2 linked regions of the Schizosaccharomyces pombe genome follow. Changing the gene in region 1 together with any one later gene gives a genetic interaction. Each region holds a gene or a part of one and is shown in the gene's direction. Other genes may lie near its edges.

Region 1 (4,282 bases):
TGCTAAAATGCCTTGAAGTTAAATCATGCTAATTGAAATATACGCGTTAATGACCCCGAAATTGTTTGTAAAAGTTTTTTTTTGTTTGCAAGTTTCTTTCTATCTTTGGAAACTATATATATATTTTAAAGTTGCATATTGCGTTTAAGGTCTCTTCCGGTTTCATCAGAAGTCAAGCTCTAAATTAATACAACTGCTGTTATTTGAATAAAGGATACGGCTTAAAACGATTATTGGAAATAGGAATTATTAGATGATTAAGAATATTCATTTTTTGTTATCGTGTATTACTAAGTAGGCTTGCTGTAGCAACAATAATAAAAATGATAGCATTTTGCTCGATATGTATTAAACCCTTATTCAATCTTTGGTTTTTAAAAGTGTAATGTGATATTGATACCTTAACAACATTATGCATTTTTTGAAGCAATACCTCTTTTACTCACCCAGACGTATGAAGACCCAGGAAATCAAGAATGTTACACTCGAAGACGTTGATTTTTTAAAAAACTTAGGGGTTTGGGTGGAGATATATCATCATCTAGAAAAAGGACTTCTTCAGCAATGTTTCAATTTGGTAAAAAAGAACATGGAAGCACTATATCGACAAAGCTCCTTCGGATGGGATGATTCAGAGAAATTGAAGGAAATGGAGATGGAAAAATTAGAGTATATTTGTATTTTTGAAAAAACCTCGAAAAAATTGGTAGGATTTCTGAGTTTTGAAGACACTGTGGAAGCAGGTCTGACTTGTTTATACATATATGAGATACAGCTAGATGAGCATATACGAGGGAGGAACGTTGGGAAATGGTTATTAAAAAATGCAAGTATACTTGCATATCGACGAAACCTAAAATATATTTTCCTGACAGTATTTAGCGCCAATTTAAACGCCTTGAATTTCTATCATCATTTTGATTTTGTACCTCATGAGTCATCTCCCCAAGAGAAAAAATTTAGATCAGGAAAAGTAATTCATCCGGACTATTATATACTTTATACGAAGTCCAGAAAGGATTGGTAATTGAGCTTCCGTATACACACATGCTTCATACCTTTTTGCCATCCCCCTCTAAAACTACAAAATATGTGTATAGTCTCTTTTCTTCTTTGGTGCATCCAATCTCTGAGTTTAATGTTTTGCATTGAAGTCATCAAATTTTGTGTATTTTTTAAATCTACGATACCATACATTATGACCTGGTCCCATCAAAATATTGTTCCATTTACTAAACCTTTAAAACTTTAGTAAAATATTTGAAATTTCTGTTCAGGACTTTTGTTTTATTCCATTAGCAACGTTGTAATGTTACATGATGCGAATTGCTTTTCAACCATAACAGCTTAGGGATTGGAGGGGCTACAATTTCTATTTTAATTTATTCATTAATGTCAAAATATTTCTACCTATATTGAGGTATATAGTTACTATCTTTTTAATTACTCAAAGAAAATCACTTAGGATATCGATTACTTCTGTTTCAAATTCAAACCTAGAAGTATAGATCAGAGAAAAATTACCGACAATGATAACTAAAATTTTCAGCATTCCTTTCTCGTTTCCAATGGCATTCAAACCATGATTGCTTTTAGTGTTAAAAAACAAAAACAAAAAAGAACGATTAATTCCGAGACAGTCAACTCCATCAACTACGAAAAACAATTAAATATTTTTTATGCATTTCTTGAAATAAACTACAGCAAAAATCTTTCTTTTCAACCAGAATATCAAGAAAACTTCACTCCTTATTCGTACCTCATACAAGTCCAAATAACGAGGAGAGTATCCTATTGTGATTTTAACAAACTCCAACTTCCTTGGAATTCAATTTTTAAGTATTAGGCGTATATTTTTGATATCAAGTTTAACGGATTGTATTGTACAACATTAAAAAGTAAACACTGCTACGTCACACAAAGCTCGGATTTGATTATGATTGGCGGACTTTCAACAGTGTGTTGTTGCTAAGCCGCCTTTTGTTTACCATTGTCTGCGAAAACATTCGTTAAATGCTGCTGTATGATTCTTTATTTTTAGTAGGAAAAACGTTCTTGTCTTTAACCAACAACAACAGAAGGTATCTATACCTTGTTTGTTCAACAAAACGGGTTTAAACAGATAAATATAACAAAATGAATAAAGCAAACGATTATACACTAGGAGTGGAGATGATCCCTCTTAGTATGGGAGAGTTTTTTGAAGAGATCGATCATATTCGCGATGCCATTCGTCAAATCGAAGATAATGTCGGTCGAATTGAGATGTTGCATCAACAATCGCTGCAAGAAATTGACGAAGCAAATATTGCAGCTACGACTCGCCATTTAGAAGGTTACACATCAGATACTCGACGTCTCCAAACTAGCGTTCAGTTGGCCATCCGGTCATTAGAGTCTCAAAATATGCAGCTGCCACCCGATAATGACACAGCCACCAGAAAAACACAGACCGAAGCTGTAAAAAAGAAATTTATGGACCAAATTCGTCACTTTTTACAAATAGAAAAGACATATCGTGCTCAATATGAACAACGTATGCGTCGGCAGCTTGAAATTGCCAACCCCAGGGCTACTGAAGATGATTTTCAAACCGCTATAAATGAAGAAAATGGTGGACAAGTATTTGCTCAGGCTTTGCTTCGATCAAATCGGTCTGGTGAAGCTCGCACTGCATTACGGGAAGTCCAGGAGCGTCATGCCGATATTAAAAGAATTGAAAGAACCATTGCTGAACTTGCACAGCTTTTCCAGGATATGGCTACTATGGTACAGGAGCAAGAACCAATGGTGGATAAAATTGTAACGGATGCTGTTAACGTTCGCACGAATATGGGTGAAGGAACTCAGCATATGGATAGAGCTATCAAGAGCGCTAGAGCAGCTCGTAAGAAAAAGTGGATTTGCTTTGGTATTTGTGTTGTTATCATTTGTGTAATCGTTGCTGTTTTATGTGGTGTTTTGATTCCTGTTCTTGGCAATAGACATTGATCAACGGTCATTCTTCCTTGTTGCATGAAAAGTTTTTTTCTTTTAAAAAATCATGTTTTTCATTACTTGGTTTTAATGATATTCTTTTATTCTTCTAGTATCTTGACTGTTCTAACCATAATCCTTTTGCTTACCCCTTTTTTTTCTGTTTCTTTTCTTTTAAACCTTTCTTCCTTGGACTTGTATAGTTTGTACAATTTTACCTTTTTCACCCTTTATCCACGTTATTCTTATTCATTTTCATTTCCTTTCATCCATCTCTTGCAAAATTCTCTGCGATCGTTATTACAATCCCTGTCTACACCTTTCCGTTTCCCCATCTACCCTTACTTAATATTTGAGTTGCTGCAAATGTATTTATTTTCAAATGCTGCAGTGATATGGCCGGTTAGATATCACCTTTGAAACGTTTACCTTTTTAGCATATTTCCCGTTTGAACGGTCCGATTGTGATTTATGGACTCTGGAAAGTCTTTTCATTTTCACTCATCGCTCGTTACTTAAGTTGCAGTGTAAAATATTTGGACTACACGTCTGGCATTGTTATTTTGTTTATTCATGGCATGCTGCTTCGTTCTTTACCCCAGCAGTGTTTTACATCATTCTCGGGTTTTATATTGGTAGAAACCAACAAAATTTATTTGGTTTTTTAAAAGACGATAACAGCATTGTTTTAACAGTTTATGTGTTTATACGTATATGAACGGAATCGAAGTTCATCATCAGTTCTGGATATTTCAATAAACGTTGTTGTATATTTTCAAAATGCTTAAAAAAAATAGGCGTAATTTACTGTAGAGACGACCATGAGTTGAATGTAGTAATTTATTTAAATGGCATAAGCGATATTATATTATAACTCATCGACAGATGATTCCTTGTCTTCCATTCCATTAACAGCATTTTCGTTTGCGCTGTTTTGGGTGTTGAGTAAAGACTGCTTGAGTTGATCAGGGGAGCACGCAGCAGGGCTCTTCATTTTGATTAAATACTCACATTTCTGAGCCTCCAGTACACTAACAATCTCATTTTCTACTCCACATTCAACAGTAACAATGGCAGATCTATGAGGACCATTCCAGCAACTTTGACCATTTTCATACTTTAGAACATTTCCTTCCTGCGAGGCAAAATTTCTAGAGTTGTTAGCAAACACATACCAAAGCAAATCTACACCTACCCTAATAGAATGGAATCTTGAAAAACATTTTCGTAAAACACCACCTTGTATGTATAGCCACCAATTTCACGTTTTGTTTCCATTCCCTTGATAGCTCTGTACAAATCCCAC
Region 2 (3,914 bases), on another chromosome or scaffold:
AACAAATGAGGGATTTTTAGTGATTGCCTTATGAGACCAACTTATAAATGCAATGTCATAAAGTAAAGAGTGCAATCTGAGTTTCAGCATGTACTCCGGATAATCTTGTAAAATAGTGATGCTATTAGCATTCATCAACGATAGTGTATTGTTAAGAAATGAAGGAGAGCTGTAATCTAGCGATAATAGATCAAATAACGCATCCAAAACCGAATAAATGATGAAACCTATAGTACGCTTCTCTTCTACAAATCCTTTAAGCCATTCCGGAAAAACACTAACAAAGTCATTTAAACATGTGCGAAAAAATGAAGCAATAATGTAAGCCCAGTTCATGTCAGATACTTCAAAAGGTGTAGCTGTAACATTTTTTAGCAAGTTTTTTAAGAAAGAAGACACTTCCTTAAATGAATCAGCGGCAGACCAAAAGGATGAGGAATTGCAGCAAATTCGAAGACAGGACATTTGTTGAGAGGATAGAGATTCAGAAGTCTTTACCAAATTTAAAAGATAATCTTTTAAAATGGACTCACATGCAGCAGTAATGGATTGTAAAGGAAGAAGTTCTAAAAACATGTAAGTACGTTCCCAAAATTCAGGACTACTTATAGACACGAAATTACAATCACTGTCAGAGGAATTTTGACTTTCAAACACTACAGTATTAAAAACGGCGTCAACTGTAGCAGAAGAAATTCTTATTTCAGTATTTTCCTTAAAAAAGCTATGAACCCATTCCAAAACATCGGGATGGGAAGCTTCATAGAAAAATAGTAAATAACCAGGAAGAAATATATTAGAACACCAATCTGAAAGTAGACCATTAAATGCATCTATTGCATTTTTATAAATATTTTTACAGGTAAACAATTTAGGATTCAAGAGGGTTTCGAAAATTAAGCAAGGCAAAGACGTGAAGTCAATTGTTTCATCCTCCAGGGCCTTGAAGTCCTCTAAGACACGGATAATATCCCATTTATTCCACTTTTCCTGTAAATCGGTAATTGAAAACCCAGTAAAAGAATATGAACCTTTCGCAAGGGATTCATTTCGAAGTTCATAATAAGCTTGTATACAAGAAGTACAAGAGCGTAAACGCTCATGATAGGCATTTAATACCCATTTAAAGCTCGGAGTTTCATCATGTGCAAACCAAAAGAAGGTAGGTTGTATATACTGAGTCAGTAGTCCTGAGCAAAACCAATGCTGACCCTCTTTACTAGACGATAATTTTTCAAAACAATCTTGATCGCTAAGATTCTCCGCCATTTGTAACAATCAAATTTAATATTTTTTTAATGTTATGAAGTAAATAATATTTTTTTTGGAAATTTCAACCTGTTTTTCTGATAAAAGAGTGAAAACAAAAAAACAAACAAAAGAAATGTAGGTAAGTGAGTATTGTCTCTTTTTTAAAGACTTTTTTCTAATAAATGTATGATTAAATGGACCCAAATAAACGTTGTTTCACCGATAGACCAAAAACCCAGGAAAAATCTAATATTGCAAGTGCCAAAACCAAAACCCTAATCCAGACGTAAATCGTAACGTAAATAAAATTTTATTTACAAAAGATCTCAAGAATAAAATAACAAATAACGTTTCGGACGCTACAGCGATGAGAGGAGACCTTTTAACACTATGTGAAAGTTAAAACTTTCATAAAAATTTCATAACTCAAGGAAATTTAGAAGAAGAAATATATTGTTATGAACAGCTCAAATCGCCAAGAAACAAGACGTGTTTCCAAATCTCTATTCCAAAGGGCGTAGTTGGTTCCTCCCAAATTCACCAATACTAAGGATTTGTTTACGTTATTTACTATGAGGGTACAGCTAGTTACATGTTTCTTATTGTAAAAAGGCAAGAAGTAATTTTATTACTTTATTTTATTTTTTTTCTTTAATTTATATAAGTATAATCACAAAACTGCTTTGCAACCCAACATTACAAAGCCAGATGTTTAACGCAATGGAAAGAGGATTAACGAATTGGTACACATCAACTCCAACCGAGCGCAAAAATAAATCCTCCACCAACTAACACATACGACCATGTCTGAGCCATATGACCCATATATCCCGGCGGAGCCTTCTGCAGCTGTTCGTAGTGGAAATGCTGCTGCTTCGTCGACGCCGAATATGAAGACAGCTGCAATTCAGCAGCAGATTGACGATACTGTGGGGATTATGCGTGAAAACATTTCTAAGGTTTCAGAACGTGGAGAACGCCTTGATTCTTTACAAGATAAAACAGGTATGATATTTATTTTTGTTAACAGTTAAATTTTTTTTTTGAACGTTTAGCTAACTTCTTTAAGATAACCTTGCTGTTAGCGCGCAAGGCTTCCGTCGTGGCGCCAATCGTGTTCGCAAGAAGATGTGGTGGAAGGACATGCGTATGCGTCTTTGCATTATCATTGGTATCATCATTTTACTTGTTGTCATTATTGTTCCTATCGCAACAAAATTTCATGGCAAGTAAGAAGATGTATCATGTAGCTTAGTCGCATGCCGAGTCAAAATATTTGCTGTTTGAATACTTTTTTTTCAAGCGTATTTTTGTCTCTGGTTTTTTTCTTCCTTCTCTCTTTCTTTCTCTCTTGCCTGACACAACAACCTATAAATCGAATTTTAAGAAAAAAGCTTCTGATGTAGACAGGGCCACTTTTTTTGCAAAGAGATAACGCATTTTTTCTCAAGATCCTTTATTCGTTTTTATTTTTCTTGCATATACATACTTGATGACTGACGGGTCAATGATAGTGAATACCAGGTTGGTTTTTTGTTGAGCAATTTGGTTTTGGCCTGTATTGCTTTTTCCTCTTTTCTTCTTTCTACACCTCACCATACATATCATGGGCCTTGCTTGCTTGACAAAGGAAATCTTTATGGATACAAAATTATCATTACTTTCCGTACTTAAGATGGTAAATAGAATTTTTGTTTCCTTCTCGGTATTTCTTTTCTATTCCGCTCTTTATATGGATAACCCTATAGCATAAAGATGGATAATGTTTTAATGTATACAGATTAGCCTCGATATTCCATTTGTCTACGGCTTTTTTCTAATTCTTCAAAAGTACTTAGTACGGGAGCAAATTTGTTATCTTATTTTCATATTTTTCCTTTAGAAGCTAGCTTCTTTTTATACTGATTATTGCACTGATAGGTGTATTAAAAAACCACTATTCTTAATTAATTTTATAGAGTGAAATGTGTAAACCTGATAATTAGGAAATATTTTTTAAGTTTGCTCACACGTGGTTTTATATCCAGATTAACAATTGTATTATTTTTCGACTTCTATTTTGCTCAACAGATATTGTGGTCTAATCCTTCATTCGTGTAGTATTTTAAATTTTGAATGCAGCACGGTTTACGAATTAAGATATATTCATCAACTGGGTTCAACAGTACTGCATTTGTTTTTGTTTACTATCAATGTAACTTAACGTAATTTAGAATTTAATTGTATCAGAAAGTAGTATATTTGCTCCCCTTAAAATGCTTTAGTCTGAAGAATAGATAATAATAGCCCAATATTTTAATAATTTAGATGATTGAAAAAATCAACAGATTTTTTTGTAATATTGTTTGTATGAATTCTCGTTGAAATATAATAATAAACTACATATATTAAATCGTTCACTTTTACTGAGTGATTGAATTAAATATATCTTCAAATATTTGTATATAATTTTAATAAATTGTAATTGTCTTCCTTACTAGAATTACGCTTATAATGATACTAACCAGAAAATTTAAAAAATATATAAGTTTGATATGTAAATAGATTGTGAAAAACCAGGGAATCACAACAACTCTTGATATTTATCAAAACAAAGATGATTATAACCTACATTTTTACTACGGTTCCTTAGGTAACAAGTGCTACCTATAGTTAGAAGTGTA

The links.
Region 2: of psy1 (region 1) and syb1, extra expression of one rescues a mutant of the other (dosage rescue), as found in Schizosaccharomyces pombe (2 studies listed by BioGRID, with this or other methods).

Annotation. Positions count from the first base shown.
Region 1 is NC_003421.2:1,027,001-1,031,282, reverse strand, and holds psy1 (plasma membrane SNARE Psy1), read left to right. Parts: upstream 1-2,063; 5' UTR 2,064-2,136; coding exon 2,137-2,991; 3' UTR 2,992-3,782; downstream 3,783-4,282. Other genes in the region: putative histone N-acetyltransferase Naa40, read left to right, coding at 455-1,027; glucosidase II beta subunit Gbs1, read right to left, coding at 3,845-4,127, 4,172-4,282.
Region 2 is NC_003424.3:3,266,257-3,270,170, forward strand, and holds syb1 (synaptobrevin family receptor), read left to right. Parts: upstream 1-2,034; 5' UTR 2,035-2,054; coding exon 2,055-2,256; intron 2,257-2,320; coding exon 2,321-2,484; 3' UTR 2,485-3,414; downstream 3,415-3,914. Other genes in the region: helicase Sen1, read right to left, coding at 1-1,269.